2 linked regions of the Oreochromis niloticus genome follow. The protein of the gene in region 2 interacts with the protein of the main gene of each other region in a pairwise test. Links are inferred from orthologs where the notes say so. Each region holds a gene or a part of one and is shown on either strand. Other genes may lie near its edges.

Evidence for each region.
Region 1: the proteins of nudt3b (region 2) and rplp1 interact in a two-hybrid assay, tested with the Homo sapiens proteins (2 studies listed by BioGRID and IntAct). The link is inferred for Oreochromis niloticus from reciprocal best matches to the Homo sapiens genes NUDT3 and RPLP1.

The regions. Positions count from the first base shown.
Region 1 is NC_031985.2:18,528,157-18,535,589, forward strand, and holds rplp1 (large ribosomal subunit protein P1), read right to left. Parts: upstream 2,611-7,433; 5' UTR 2,463-2,610; coding exon 2,391-2,462; intron 1,553-2,390; coding exon 1,478-1,552; intron 964-1,477; coding exon 849-963; intron 644-848; coding exon 561-643; 3' UTR 515-560; downstream 1-514. Other genes in the region: lipid scramblase CLPTM1L, read right to left, coding at 7,099-7,177, 7,264-7,379. UniProt on the Homo sapiens protein: Plays an important role in the elongation step of protein synthesis.
Region 2 is NC_031970.2:9,791,248-9,798,533, forward strand, and holds the start of nudt3b (diphosphoinositol polyphosphate phosphohydrolase 1), read left to right. Parts: upstream 1-4,233; 5' UTR 4,234-4,516; coding exon 4,517-4,615; intron 4,616-5,841; coding exon 5,842-5,952; intron 5,953-7,286. UniProt on the Homo sapiens protein: Cleaves a beta-phosphate from the diphosphate groups in PP-InsP5 (diphosphoinositol pentakisphosphate) and [PP]2-InsP4 (bisdiphosphoinositol tetrakisphosphate), suggesting that it may play a role in signal transduction.

The DNA.
Region 1 (7,433 bases), on a different chromosome or scaffold from region 2:
CTCCACAGTCTAAAGTTCTGACTTAAGGTGACCATTGATCAGTAATAAATCTACATTAACCCAAGTTATCAAACTGTATTTTCAAGACAAGCTGCTGCCCATGTCCTAAAAGTTTACTCCAGATCATCGCACTATGCAGAAACATATTTTATCACATGGCTGTACTTTCAAATGAGTGTCTACTTTCAAAATGAGAATTGAAAGTAATTGAGAAAAGTCGAATCTTGAGTATAATTTGGATGATCATTGTATTCAGCTTTTACCAAACTCTGAACAAGAGTTCGGTAGTTGCAGTTTTTTGTGAATTATCAGCACACAGCTTGCCATGGCATTAGGTTCAACGCCTAAGCTGAATGTGCTAAAATATAATTTCTCTCATGTCCAGGGAAGTGAAGTCACTACAAATCTACTGCCTAAAATGTCAATTTAGGTTAATGTGCTGACAAATGATGCAGATTTAAATTGTAAGTGCAGAATTACTGTACATAAAAAACAAACAAAAACAAAAGACGAGTCATTTTTTATACTTTTATTGTGTTTTTATATAAAAAACAGCTGTTTTAGTCAAAGAGACCAAAGCCCATGTCGTCGTCTGACTCCTCGGACTCTTCCTTCTTCTCCTCCTTCTTCTCCTCCTCCTTGGCTGTAGAGGGAAAACAAGACGTAGTTATAAGTCAAAGATGACTACACAAACTAAATTCAGAAGAAAAGAAAAAAGTCAATTTGATTTCTGAGGTACATGAAATCTGAACTTGAAGGAGAAACTAAAGTGGTATAGCCCGAGAATGCATTCATATTACTGTTATGTAACTACAAATGTAGCGCTGGGAAATGCTTTGTTTAGTTACCTGGGGCGTCACCAGCAGCGGTAGTACCACCAGCAGCAGCAGCGACTCCAGCGGGGGCTCCACCGCCGGCTCCAACATTGCAGATCAGACTGCCGATGTCGATGCTGGACAGAGCCTACGCAAAGAAAATTCACAGGTTACGTCACTTTATTCACATGTCCAGCGGGTGTTACAGAGATCGATGTATTTAAAAAGGCAAGACATCAAGCATAACTCCTACCTACCATGCCTAAAGACTCTTTACAGCAAGTGTAGTATGTTTTTTCTTTTTTTTAAATTTTAGTAATTTGTGTCCTGCTCATTCATTCCACTTTCTCTAAGTGGCAGCACTGTTGCATCAAGACATTTATTCCAAATTCATGTGTTTGCTCATACTGGCAACAACAGGAACAATATTAATGCTTTCAGCCTGACATAACTTTTTTAAAAAGAAATTTGAATGTAAATACAGACCATTAAATCACACAGAAAGCAATGAACAGGTCTGTTTCACTACAGCACACACAATCAGTAAGTCTCCTTTACAGCCACTTACATTTGTATTGTTTATAAGAGTTATTGGGATACATAAAAACTGTCAGATCTTCAGATCTATTCGGTGATATGATTTCAGAAGTGTGTTCTCTCACCTTGGCGAACAGACTTGGCCAGAAAGGCTCCACAGTGACTCCAGCAGCCTTGATCAGGGCATTCAGCTTGTCCTCCTGTGGACAAACAAATAAATAACATAACAGCCACCGTTATTTAACTCTACTTCACATACTGACCACTTTTGGGAACACTTTTTGCTAAAATATGAGCGATGACACGGAAACTGATGGTCTACAATGTGTTGAAGCAAACACTTTCAGTGAGAAAAAATATAATTAAAAATTATCTGTGACACATGTCCTCATTCCACTTTCTCAGGTAAAGACAATGTGCGTGAAATAATCAAAATCTTAGGGAACTAAATATATTTGAGGACACCACGCAACACTTCAACATGGATTACCAGTTAACAGACTAACAGTAAGTATAACAAGTGGCAAGTAACAAGAAGGGATGCCGAATCAGGTTTGCTATCCTTTAGGTGTTTCAATGCAACAAGCTCTAACAAAAACAACTTTGATCGGTGATGCCAACACTAAAAAAAATAAAGGTATGTTGTGCTCTTGTTGAGTCTGACCACACAGTCTGTCAGTGAACACCACATCCAGACCTGTCAGCAGAGATGTTTAAGGCTACACTGACGGTTAAAACAAACACACACGTGCTGTACAGGTCAAACATCAGCATTCAGAGTAAGAACACAAGACTGAGCTGTCCAGCTAGAAAAACGTGGCCTAGGAATAGCAACTAGCATGACGCCATTTTAGCCGGTACACGGACATAACTGGCGTTTACCTGATATATTAACATACTGGTTTATCTATCTGTAGCTTTTAATGTCACGTTTTTAGTATTTTAGGCTTTTTAGCCCAACAAAAAAATGTTCAAGAACGCCCAACTCAGACATATTGGCTGAAATATCCGGGGTAACCTAGGACCTAGTACACTTACGGTGACGGTAACTTCATCGTCGTGGAGGATCAGAGCGGAGTAAATACAGGCGAGCTCGGATACGGAGGCCATTGTAGATGTTAGATTTAATGTTCGTAGGGTCAGATGCCTAAAATTGACGGTGCTAGTCGCCGGATTGCGGGCCTTAGCTTCTCGTGAAGAACCAAACACCTCAGGCACGTTAAATTTCTATAGCAGAAAAGGGAGGGACGAAGGCGGGAGTTTAGTAGATATACTCTGCGTCAGGGAGCGTGGTTCTGACGTCACGACGCACAAAACGTACGATAGCTTTATGCTCAGAGGAGTTTATTTTCTTTTTAGAATGGTAATACATCGCTGGTAAATATTATACATAAAACAGTTCAAAAAATATCTTGTATCTAGTCCTGGTATATTCCTACCAGTCTACATAAGATGAAACATCAGTGTGTGAGTGATTTAGTTTTTGGAATATTTGTCACATGCATGGGTGACAAATATTCAATGCCACCCATGATCTGGGATTGTTAGATCATGGGTGGCATGGGGTGGCATGTGCCACCCTAAAATAATCTCCTGCAACCTCTAGTGCCACCCTATAGTTGTGCCAGAGCACATGTTGAATCAACACCATGGGTATTTCAGATTTCATCACAGGTGGTTGATTGTGAGAGTCTGGAATGAAGGTGAGTGTTATTAAACCTCTGGGGTCGATGGCACATCCAAGTCATATGACTGATTTAAGCAGGGGGAGATCCACGGGGGGGGGGGGGCATGGGGTGGCATGTGCCACTCTAAAATAATCTCCTGTCATCCCCCAGTGCCACCCTAGTTTTGAATATGACATGTTTTTCAAGCATGAATGGCCTGTTTAAGGTCATGCCAAAGCATCCCCCTTGTTGTATTTATGTCTGGACGTTTGACTAGACTGCTTGTTTTTTCAGAAGTGAACTTGCTGTTGTGTTTTGGATAATCATCTTGGTGTGTGTGTGTGTGTGTGAGTGAGCTTTAGGCCATGAATCAATGGCTGGACATTTTGCATCAATTACAGCAAGTTGTCCTGGTCCTGAAGCAACAAAGCAGCCCCAGATCATCATACTACCACTAACATGTTTCACGACTGGTATGCCATTTTTCAGAAAAGCTGTGTTAGTTTTATGACAGGTGTAGTGGTTCTGAAAGCTTCCACAAAGACTTCTCATATCAGTCTACAGAATATTTTCCCCAAGATCTTAGAATCATCAAGATGTTTTTTTGCCAAATGTGAATGATACTCTGTTCTTTTTTCATCAACAGTGGTTTGTACCTTGGAACCCCCTCATGGATGCCATTTTTGCCAAGTCTCTTTTGTTACTGTTGAATTATGAACTCTGACCTTAATTGTGCAAGTGAGGCCAGCAGTTCATTAGGTTTTTTTTCTCTCTGGATGTGATCTTTAAGTCATTTTGGTAGGACGGCCACTGCTGGGAGGGTTCACCACTGTTCCAAGTTTCCTCCATTTGTGGATAAAAGCTCTCAGTGTGGTACACTGGAGTCCCAAAGCTTTAGAAATGGCTTAGTAAGACTGATGTCCAACTTTTGTTCTCTGCTGTTCTTGAGTTTCTTTAGATCGTGACATGATTTAATGCCTACGTCACTGTCAGACAGATTCTGTTCAAGTCATTTCTTGATCCAACAGATCTGGTAGTAATTAGGCCTCGGTTATCTAACCAAAGTCATTGCACGATTTAACAAGTGTGTGTGTGTGTGTGTGTGTGTGTGTGTGTGTGTGTGTGTGTGTGTGTGTGTGTGTGTGTGTGTGTGTGTGTGGGGAATTACTTTTTCACATCGCGCCATGTAGGTTTCGCTAGCTTTTTCCCTTAACAAATGAAATCATCTCTGCATTACTCAGGTTATCTCTGAGCAACATTTCTAAGATTTCCACTGAACAGTTGACCCCAGCAATAGTAACATGCCAAATACACGTAACATTTTGTCAGTTATTTTTTAATTTCATCTCAATCAAAAACACAAACATTACAATAACTAAAACAATTTAAAGGCAAATCTCTGCCAACTCTATTATTAAGGAACATAAATCCTGTGCAGAACCTTTGTATACAGACCTAATATATCATGATATCTGAAAATTAAGTACATTATTTCAATTAAAGTCTTAAAAAACCCCCAAACTATGGCAAATAAATCAAATTTTGACTGCATAAACCCAGTGTAATAATACTTTGTTTAAACATTTCCGTCATCATCTCTCTCACAATGTCAGTGTTTATTCAAAAGATCCGATGTACCATCTATTGTGAACGTACAATGGTAACATTATTCATTCTCACATTTGGCACTAGCAGATTTTCTTGGCCCAGTTATGTAAAAAAAAGAAGAAAAAAAAAGGAAGAAGAAAAAAAATGGATGGAAAAGACAGTAGGACTGTCAGTGATACAGAGTGTGGTACAATGAAACTGTCAGTACCATTTTATAGAGACACAAAACAGACAGAATGCAACTTCACAGATTCTGGAACTTTCAAGCTTAAGATTCTGGAATGTCTCGGGCAATTAATCTTCTCTCCATGGCAACAGATCACAACTTTCTCCTCTGCCTCTAGTGAAATTCTCCTGCCATCTACTGGCAAATAAACAGAATTGTGTAACAATCCGTGCTTCTTAGCAGAACTGAAAAGTGATGCATTCAAGTGCATCACTTTTCAAATTTGGATTTCTAAACGTTTACGTTTTAAATCCCATTTTCTTTGATTTTGCCCCCAAATGTTACAGTTTATTCTCACTTTAAAAGCATACTCATTATGTCGATATGAAATTTTACATTGTGCGAAATAAGCTATTTAAGCTGCTCTCTCTTTAAGGCTGGCCTCTCTGTCATGCATACCGTTTTATTTTATTTTTTTATTTTTTTGGCAACTTTGTTTGCTTTGCGGAAGCAAAAGTAAGCTACTGGAAGCAAACTTAATCACCGTCAATTTATGTATATAGGTCTGCATATCTCCTTGATAAGCTGATATCATCATATTAATAAGGAAGTAGAACAAAGTACTGTAAACCGTTTTGTTTTGCTTTTGGTGTTTCGTTTCTCCCATTTAGAGATTACATTCAAATGTGTTTGTCTAATTATCTCTTATTATGAACATTTACATCATAACAGAGTGCGTAATAAAAAACGAGCATAACAGGTTCTCTTTACAACTCAGTCACACTAGAGCAAAAGCAGGACAGTGACTTCCTTGTAACTAGGAGGAAAAAAAAGACAACAAAAATGTAAATACTTTACATCAACTACATCACTATTCGTGGAGGAATTCCTATTTTAAATCTATGGAAACACTTGCCGGACTCGGCTAGGGTTTAATGTGAATTTGTGTTTGTGTAGACAGCAACAGATTTATAACACATGTCAACAGATTTGTAGTTTTTGCCCACATCTCCTCACAAGCAGATTGCATGTAATTGCCAACTGGATCCTATTCAGTTGCAAACTGATAGCAGACTGACTTATTGTCCTTACTGCCATTTCATCGCCGTCTTGCACTAAAGTCACTTTGACTTACAAGTTTATAGCACACAGGCAGAATGGTTTTGGTCGTGCCGTGGCCTCCAACTACTGTTTTCCCTAGTGTGACTGTAGCGTTAAACATGACCGTTCTTTGTCACAGAACTAACAAATGTCAACTGTATGCACGTGATCATTTTGGATATAATTTTGTACAATTTTTTTTTTTTTTAAGAGCCAGATTGCCAAGTTATTGAGAAATGCTTAAAAAGAATGAACATAATTTCTGATAATTTACATATTCAAAAGAGCTAACAATACATCCTTTTTAGTTTCTGTATGGCTTACCTTTGCTTATTGCAGCTTTCATATTTTATTCCAATTACCATAAACACCAGCTACCAATTTAGAAATAGTGGCCACTTAAGCACAAAAGCTGCAATTATGACTACAGCCTGATTTTTCTGAGACTGTCTGGAACAATATTATTGAGCTGCCTGAAACATCAGTTAGAATGCTTCACCTTTGCCACACTCCCCCCTTTTTTGTCACAGCACAGTCTTTGTATCCCTGCCGTCACACAGCTATCTTGATTTTACTTGAAGGCTGTCTTATCTGGTAGGTATACAACAAGCCACTGGATAAGGTCTTCTTAGTGAATAAAGCTCTCAGATGAGCAAAGCAGCTCTTTCTCTGCAGCTCGTAGATAAACTACATCTGCCAGCTGTCAGAGCAGGCTGAATCAACTTTTTCAAAACACGAGCGTAGCATTGTTAAGAATTATAAAGATTCCTTTGTGCATTTAAATCTCTGGAAAAAACATGAAAAATAAAAAAAACGATTGCAAGCAGTTCACACCAATTACATTGTAAGTGTATATTTGCAGGCTGTTATGTCAGTCTGAAAGGGCCAGAGATGTAGCTCGTCACTGTGTCCCATCACACACACTGTAAAAAAAAAAAAAAATCCCCCCCCCCCCCCCCCCCCCAAAAAAAAAACAAAACAAGAAGGCTTCGTCAGACTGTCAGACGAAGCAGAAGATGATGTTGCTCTTTTAACAGGGTGGAAAAAGTCAGAACCGTGAGCACATTTATGCACCTGGAACATATACAACAAACATTTCCCCCTGACCATTAAACTCAGTCCAGTTGATAAAGATGAGTGGACACCAGTGGAAATAAGACAAATACCCACAGATTCCAGATCATGAAAGCAAATTCCTCCGAGTCTAGTGACTCTTCTCTTTGGGGTTTTCATCGTACGACACTCCATATTCATTTACTCTTGTTTTGTCCACTGGGTAGAGCCTGGTGAAGGAAACGGAGAGTTTTAACTCTGAAAAAATGTGCATGTTTTTAACAAATGTGCTACGTGTAATGTCGTGTGTATATACCATCTCTGGTAAAGGTAGATGAGAAACACCACATCATCTCTGAAACAGGCCAGTCTGTGAGACGTTGGCATGGTGATGATGAAGGCAAACACGTCATCGATGAAGGTATTGAATGCCTGTTAACATGAAAGAAGTCCATGAACATTCTCAAAAGATGGATAAAAAAAAAA
Region 2 (7,286 bases):
GCTAATGTGTTCTGTAGTTTGTTTTTCTTTTTTAATATAGTGTGCTTTAATATGCCTTAACTCTGATTAGTTTTCATCATTTTCAAATCATAATTAATATCCATGATTTGGAGTTCATCACTTGTTAGGTTTTGATTTTCAATATCTGTCACTTTTAATTTAAGCACACATATGCTACCAGTGACACAACGTAGAAGATAAACATCAAAGTCATGTTTCCTTTCATGAAAATTCAAACAAAAAAAAAAAGATATATATTTCAAAATGGAAAAAGGGGGGAAAGGAACATAGTAAGAATTCCTCCTTAAAATACGCATGGATCAGATCATATGGTCTAGGAATAAGAGGTCCCTTATGAACGATTTTTAAAAAAATTAATTAATTAATTTAAAAAGAAATGCTGCAGTACTGCAAGAGGTGAGCGCCCTCTTCTGGACAGGGCAGAAACTGTAACACCGCCCCTATGTGTGAATGGTTCATCAGAGACTTCCAAAGAGAATTGGTTGCCGTAGCAACAGCAGATCGTAATAGTGCAGCCTCTTGAGTGTGACCCTACACAGATATGTTTAATTGTGTAAGACCTGCTTTCCTCATCCTGAAGAGAGAGAGAGAGGCAGCATAGAAACTATATATTTCATTCTGTGCAAACAACTGTGACCCTGATGAATTTCAAATGTCTTTGCAACATGTGTTGTTTATTTTCTGTTGGGTTCATAAATCTTATGGATTCCTTGGAAGTTGGCAGGTGCTTGGAGAAAGTGAAATCAACATAGCTGAAACCCGAAACTTGATTCACTGAGAAAAATCATCAATTGAAACCATCAAAACTTCACCTGTCGCTTGGTGTCATACATTTTCTGGGTTGTTAAAGTTGATAAAGAAATAAAGAGATTAGTCAGTCTTGCAGACAAGTCTGATATAATATAGATTTTTGTAGAGAAAAAAAATCTACAACAAACAAAAAATTCTGTGGCCCCACACGTCTGTGTGTTTTCCTTGCACACTGAAAATCATCTGCTAGTAGTCAACAATAATGCTGTGGTGATGCTGAATGTGCATAATTACAGTATCATGAAGCCTTTTCTCAACAACTGAGAATGTGTTGACCCAACTCCTGCTCCTAGAAAACACTTTTTTTAATTGTTATTTTATTTTAATTACATTTATATGTTAATGTCGCATAATTTACATTAGCCCGGGGAAACACATCTAATTACATTTTTCTTTCCTGCATCTAGTAATGTATTTTAATAGCTACACACAGGAGGTGGTGGACACAATATTATGAACACCTACTGTGCCGTACAATTAGTTTCACTTTAAGGGGACTCAAGCTTTTCACTTTTTTCCCCAATAATTAATCGGGGATGTGTTTAAATAAAAATATGATACAAGTAGGACCAAATATAGGTGGCATGGTGGTCTGATGGCTAGCACTGTCACCCACACAGCAATTAGGTTCTGGTTTGAATCCAGGTTTGGGCCTTTGTCTGTGAAGTTTGCATCTTCTTCCGGTGTTTGCATGAGCTCCCATAGTCCAAAGACATATTTCGGGTTAGGAGATTCTAAATTGGCTATAGATGTAAAGGGTTAGGGTTGTGAAGATGAACTGTCTGTCTCTGTGTGTTAGTCCTGCAACAGACTGGCAATTTGTGCAGGGTCTCTCAGCCTATGAGGGTTTAATAAATGCTCCAGCCCTGTGGCAACCCTTAATTTGATAAGTGGAAGAAATGGACGAATGGGTCCAAAATACAAGCAACCTGTCACTTAGTTATAGTCTCCTCCTCACAGCCTAATGTATTTCCATGTTTAAACCTTTTAAAAGGCGTCCTTGCTCAGTGTTACATATTTTCAAATAATTACCGTAGATGTATAAAAATGTAAGCGATAAGCCTGAGTTATTCTTATTTTATAGAGATTCAATACCATAATTTCATATTAGTTTTTGATTAGCTTTGTTTGTGTTTGTTTCTCTCCTTGATTATGTCATCGAAGCAAGACTTGCCCTTTAATGAAGAGCAATCTGAGATGTGCTGAGAAGAAGGTAAGAGCCACTTCAAATGTCAACATCTGTGGGTAGAAAACTGAGAAGTAAGTGAATCGAATAAGGAGAAATTGCGTTGCTTTGATTACTGGTAGGAAATTGAGTTATTGCAGCTATGACAAAAGCAATGAAATGAGAACTTGAACAATCAATAGAAAAGACTTGAATAAGAGCTTTTTGTAAGAAATCAGCATGCTGAGGATTTGTGTGAGTTTGGTGGAAATCATGATGTGCCAGTCAGCTTAAAATAACTTCAATATTTGCCCCTTTTTTTCTTTTCTGGTTTGGTTTATTGTTTGTATTTGCAGACCTGACTAATTTAATAATAATAATAATAATAATAATGTATACTTTATTGATCCCCGTGGGGAAATTACTCTCTCTGCATTTAACCCATTCACTCAGTGAAGCAGTGGGCAGCCACTAATGGGGCGCCCGGGAAGCAGTGTGTAGGGACGGTAACTTGCTCAGGGGTACCTCAGGGTAGCTGTCCAGTGGGGGGGCGGCCATGCTACCTACTGAGCTATCCCTGCCCCAATTTTTCACACAGAAAACATTTCAACTGACACTAAAGAGTTTTCATTCATGTCCGCTTAACTGCTCTTTATTATTCCATGAACTTTGAACTGTTTGAACTGTTTTTTGTGGGGGGTTTTGTGGTGGTGGTTTCTTGTTTTTTCTTTACACACATCATTAAAATACTGTAAATGAACTTGTTTGCTTGTATGACAGCTGAGATTCATGTCCGTGTTTTTTGGGTTTGTGTGTGAAATTGAGACATTCAACAATAAAGCATTTTTGTTTTATTGTTTGCTGTGGCCCACTCCTTCACACTGCAGTTACATCAGATTCATCCTCCGTTGTTAAGGACAGGGTTTTGTTGTGTGGTTGGTGAGTTTATGTAACAAATTCAATTTAAAATTCAATTTTGAGTTCCCACAATTAAGTCGCTGCAATAATGAGATTAAACTGATTATTTAGGGACCTGAACAGGTTTGTAAGACTGTGACTCACTGTTTATTCATTTATAATAATGCAAATGCAGAGCAAAGTGCTTTTTTTAGCAACATCGACAAGCCCAGACCATCCAATGCTGTTTAAAGCTCTGCTTTCCTAAATTCTTTTAGAATTTAGTTTACATGAAAGGTTCCAGTTTTGGTTCAATCAAATCTCATGTAAACAGTTAAAACAGATGTTAAACGAGACTGAAAAAGCTACATTTCTTTTCCAAATATTAGAAGACATCAATGAAATAGACTTCTGCATTGTTGGTAGACTTTGGCAAGCAAAAAAGAGAGATATTTATATGTCTTATCCAAGTTATAACAATGCAGAAAACCCTGATAAGATTCAGACTTTGGTCAACCTTTCCTGGAAAGCAAAGATAAAGATTCAGAAATGTCTTTGTGATCTAACTGAGGGCACAAGGGTGTTCTTTCTGATCGATACGCTATTTGCTTCTATGTTGATTTAGCATGCACTGTTAGAGCCACAGCCTGCTCTGCAGATATGGGGCATTAGATAGTACTAGATGAAGAATAAAAGAAGATTAGTGGAGCACTTTCAAATGTATTTTTTTAACCTGTATAAAAAAGTCTAGAGAGACCCAAAGCCATTACAGTGTGTAATTATAGTTTATAATTATTATTGGAAAATGTGTTTTCACAAGCATCTGAGCAATTAAATACTAAAACTCCCATGTAGAGATAACAAGGTTGAAAATCAACATGATAGTAGACTATCCACCTTAATTAAAAGATATTTTTATTATAGGTCAATCCAGTTTTACTCTTTATAATTGATTAACCATTTCTATTATTTAGGTATTTTTGCAGCTATTTTCCATTTGAAGTACATTAGGATTTGACAAAAATACATTTGATGCCTTACTTGAATTTTGTGTTTGCCTAAAAACCGCTTTTCTCACATTATATGCTTACATTGTCGGATCTATTTTGAGGGCCATTCCTGCGCTGTCCATTACCTGCGGTGCTGAAACTGATGAATTAACCTGGTGTGTCTTTTTCTAATGTGAGCAGCAAACTAATTTGATTACGCTAAATACGATGTTTCCCCAAATAAAAAGTCATATAAATTAATATCGGCATCAGATAAGCAGACCGGGCCATCTAGTTGGAGCCTAACGTGCCAGTTCCCTTTACCGGCTCACTCCAGTCAGAGCGTGGTGCTGCGTTTCCCCCCACGCTTCGTTGCCCTAATTCTTCAACCCCTGATAGGTAAATTTCTTACGCTCGCCAAGCTATTAATGGTTAAACTACGTCGTGGGCGTAGCGGCTCCTTGTAATGGCGACCGTGCCGTAGATGTTCCCAGGTTTGTGAAAATGAAGCGAAGAAGAAGTTATTTCTTTTAAGTAAAACGCCGAGGTTCCCCGCAGGAGGACTTTGCGTCTACAACCATCGTCTTTATAAGTGGCAAACATAGCTGTACTTTTGAACTTTTACGCTCCCGAAATGATGAAGCTCAAGTCAAACCAAACCCGGACGTACGACGGGGATGGCTACAAGAAGCGGGCCGCTTGCCTGTGCTTCAGGAGCGAGAGCGAGGAGGAGGTGAGTTCGGTGATGTGAACTGTCTGGCGGGCCAAGCTAATATTAGCATCCGTAGGTTTTATCCAGCCTTTTCTGTTGTATGTAGATCGACACGTTTATCAACACGGCTTTGGTTTTATCCCAGCTGGAAAAGGATTTCTTTTATTCTCGTGTCGACTCCCGACGTTATGATTATTCACTATTTTTCAGCTGGTACTTACCCGAGTGTTATGTAAGCCTCTTTAGCAGTGCAGATAGCAGCCTCGGTTATGATCAGACTTACTAGCTCCGCGCTAATGCTAACGTTAGCTTGCTAACTACCCGGGTTGCTGCCGTGGGCAGCCGGCTATCGGCCAGGAACCACAGCCCACAGTACAGGCTGTGGTGAGTGCTGACTCTATTACTACCAGCTGTCGGATGGACAGAGAATATTTAGTATTTAAAGCGACAGCTAAGATATGTATCTGCTCGCGTTACAGATAGTTTGGCGAGCTAAGTGTATTGTGTTAATGCAACTAGCCAAACATTGTACTGCTATGTAGCTAGTAGCTATCCTAGTTTAAGCCAGAAGATGACTCTGGCAGTGATAGCCGGCTTGCTTGTATCACTTGTGTATTTTGATTAGTTTGTTTGCGAAATTGACACTGTTGATATTTGGAGCACCAGCTTAATGGGAGCGTCGAGCCCCGTGTGCACATTTTACAACATCGCTTATTAATGTTGCTATTTGTGTATTTATCGCTCCTATCTAGCCGTATCAGAAAAAGCGAAAACGTGTTGTGGATTACTTGAGCTCAGTCACGATTTAGGACGCTCACGTACAGTCAAAAGGAGACACAAAGATGCCTTTGTACTTAAAACATTTTACTAGGGGAGGAGATGGGACCAAACCAATTCCCCATTTTGCTTAAAGTAAAGGCCAGACTGTGTAGACACGGGTTGTTGATTACAGGAAACGTATCAGCATTACCAGCACCAAAGTGGAAACTTTTACCTAAGACTGTAGTTTATCTGACTGACACCTAGGCGTTCCACAGTTCATCTCCACTAAGAACCCAACATCTAAACTAGTTCACTAGCTATGATTTATTGACAGTAATAAAAGTACTAGTTATTTTAAACCCAATGGGTTATCATTTCCATTTTTCTTGAAGTTGTATTTTTCGATGTCCCAGTTGATATTATGTGAACAGTAACTCAGAGTTGGACTGTCATACCTGACCAGTATTATATGGGGTGTTTTGCAGGTGCTACTGGTGAGCAGTAGTCGACATCCTGACAAGTGGATAGTTCCTGGAGGGGGAATGGAGCCCGAAGAGGAGCCCAATGTTGCAGCAGCTCGAGAAGTGTGTGAAGAGGTCAGTTGTGTCACTCAATATTGTTATATCTTATTTAAGCCTGTAGCATGATGGCCTTTTCTCTTTGGTTTTCCAAGTGACAGATGTTGTCTCTATGTACACTGCGTACTGGGAACCTTAACATGATCTTTTTCAGAAATGTCAGTAGCTGGAAATATAATTCTCAGAAAGTGTGGCAAATTTGTTTGACTATAGACTCATAAGATGTATTGTATTACAATTCTGTTAACTCGTGTCTGTATTTAACACTGAGCCTGATACCTTGTTCTCAAAATCCATTTTGTCAATGTAGTCATCCTGTTTGCATGGACTGTAAGAGAGAGAGAGCCTAGCAACATGTAAGCTGTATCATAGCATCATGTTACAAAGCAGTCTTTAGGTGTCAAAGGAGGTCACACAGAGATTGAACACTGGCTGCACAGTAGTTTGACTGCAGTACAGTCAAGTCACACAAACGCAGAAAATGACAACAATTGAGTTTTATTGTTTGTACGTTTTCTCGTAGCTATATATATTAGTATACAGTAGTGGTCACATTACAAGGGCAGCTTGGAGGACACAACATGTTGTTTTTGTTGTTCTGTATTGGGGTGGATGGGTAGTAATTAGTAAACGGTTCTGAAGCTAATTGGAAATCAATATTCTACTTATACTGCTTACGCCTGTTTGTTAAATCAGGTATTCTTCCACTCTGCATGCTGTTCATCCTTTGGATATTTTGATCAGAACGGACACAGGGCACATAAGACACTGAATCTCACCCGGCAGTTGGCTCCTAGTGGGCCGCTGACCTTATAAAGCCTATCCTCTCTGTGTGATCCATCACACTGATGGATGCTGATATCATCCCTTATCCTGGCTCCTGCTGATTGGTAGCTTTGGTGGTTGCAGGACACTGAGGCCTGCCAGCAAATTTCCACAGGGTCAAAAGCAATGTCACATCACTGCTCAGGCTCCTTATGTGCTAAAAGGCAACATTCAGAAACTTTGTGCTGCTTGACACATCACCAACTACATTGGCTTTCTAAGCCTCTTATTGGACGATGGTGTAACAGGACATATCCTAATCCTGGTGAGCCTGTTCTGATTACCATATGAGTGATTGCTTATGCTTATTGGTTTGGAGTCTCTCCAGGGATGAGAGTGAAGACAAGGCATGCAGTAGCAAGCCAAAATTTACAGAGGGTTTCTTTGTTAGACTGTTCACTATCTTTGCTTATCCTTGTATTATGGAGATGCACCCTGACCCTGCAACCTGAAGACGCATTGCATAACTGGTAACGAAGTCTCAGCTGTACATCCTCTTCCCAAGTGTTGAAGTGTTGCCCAGTAGT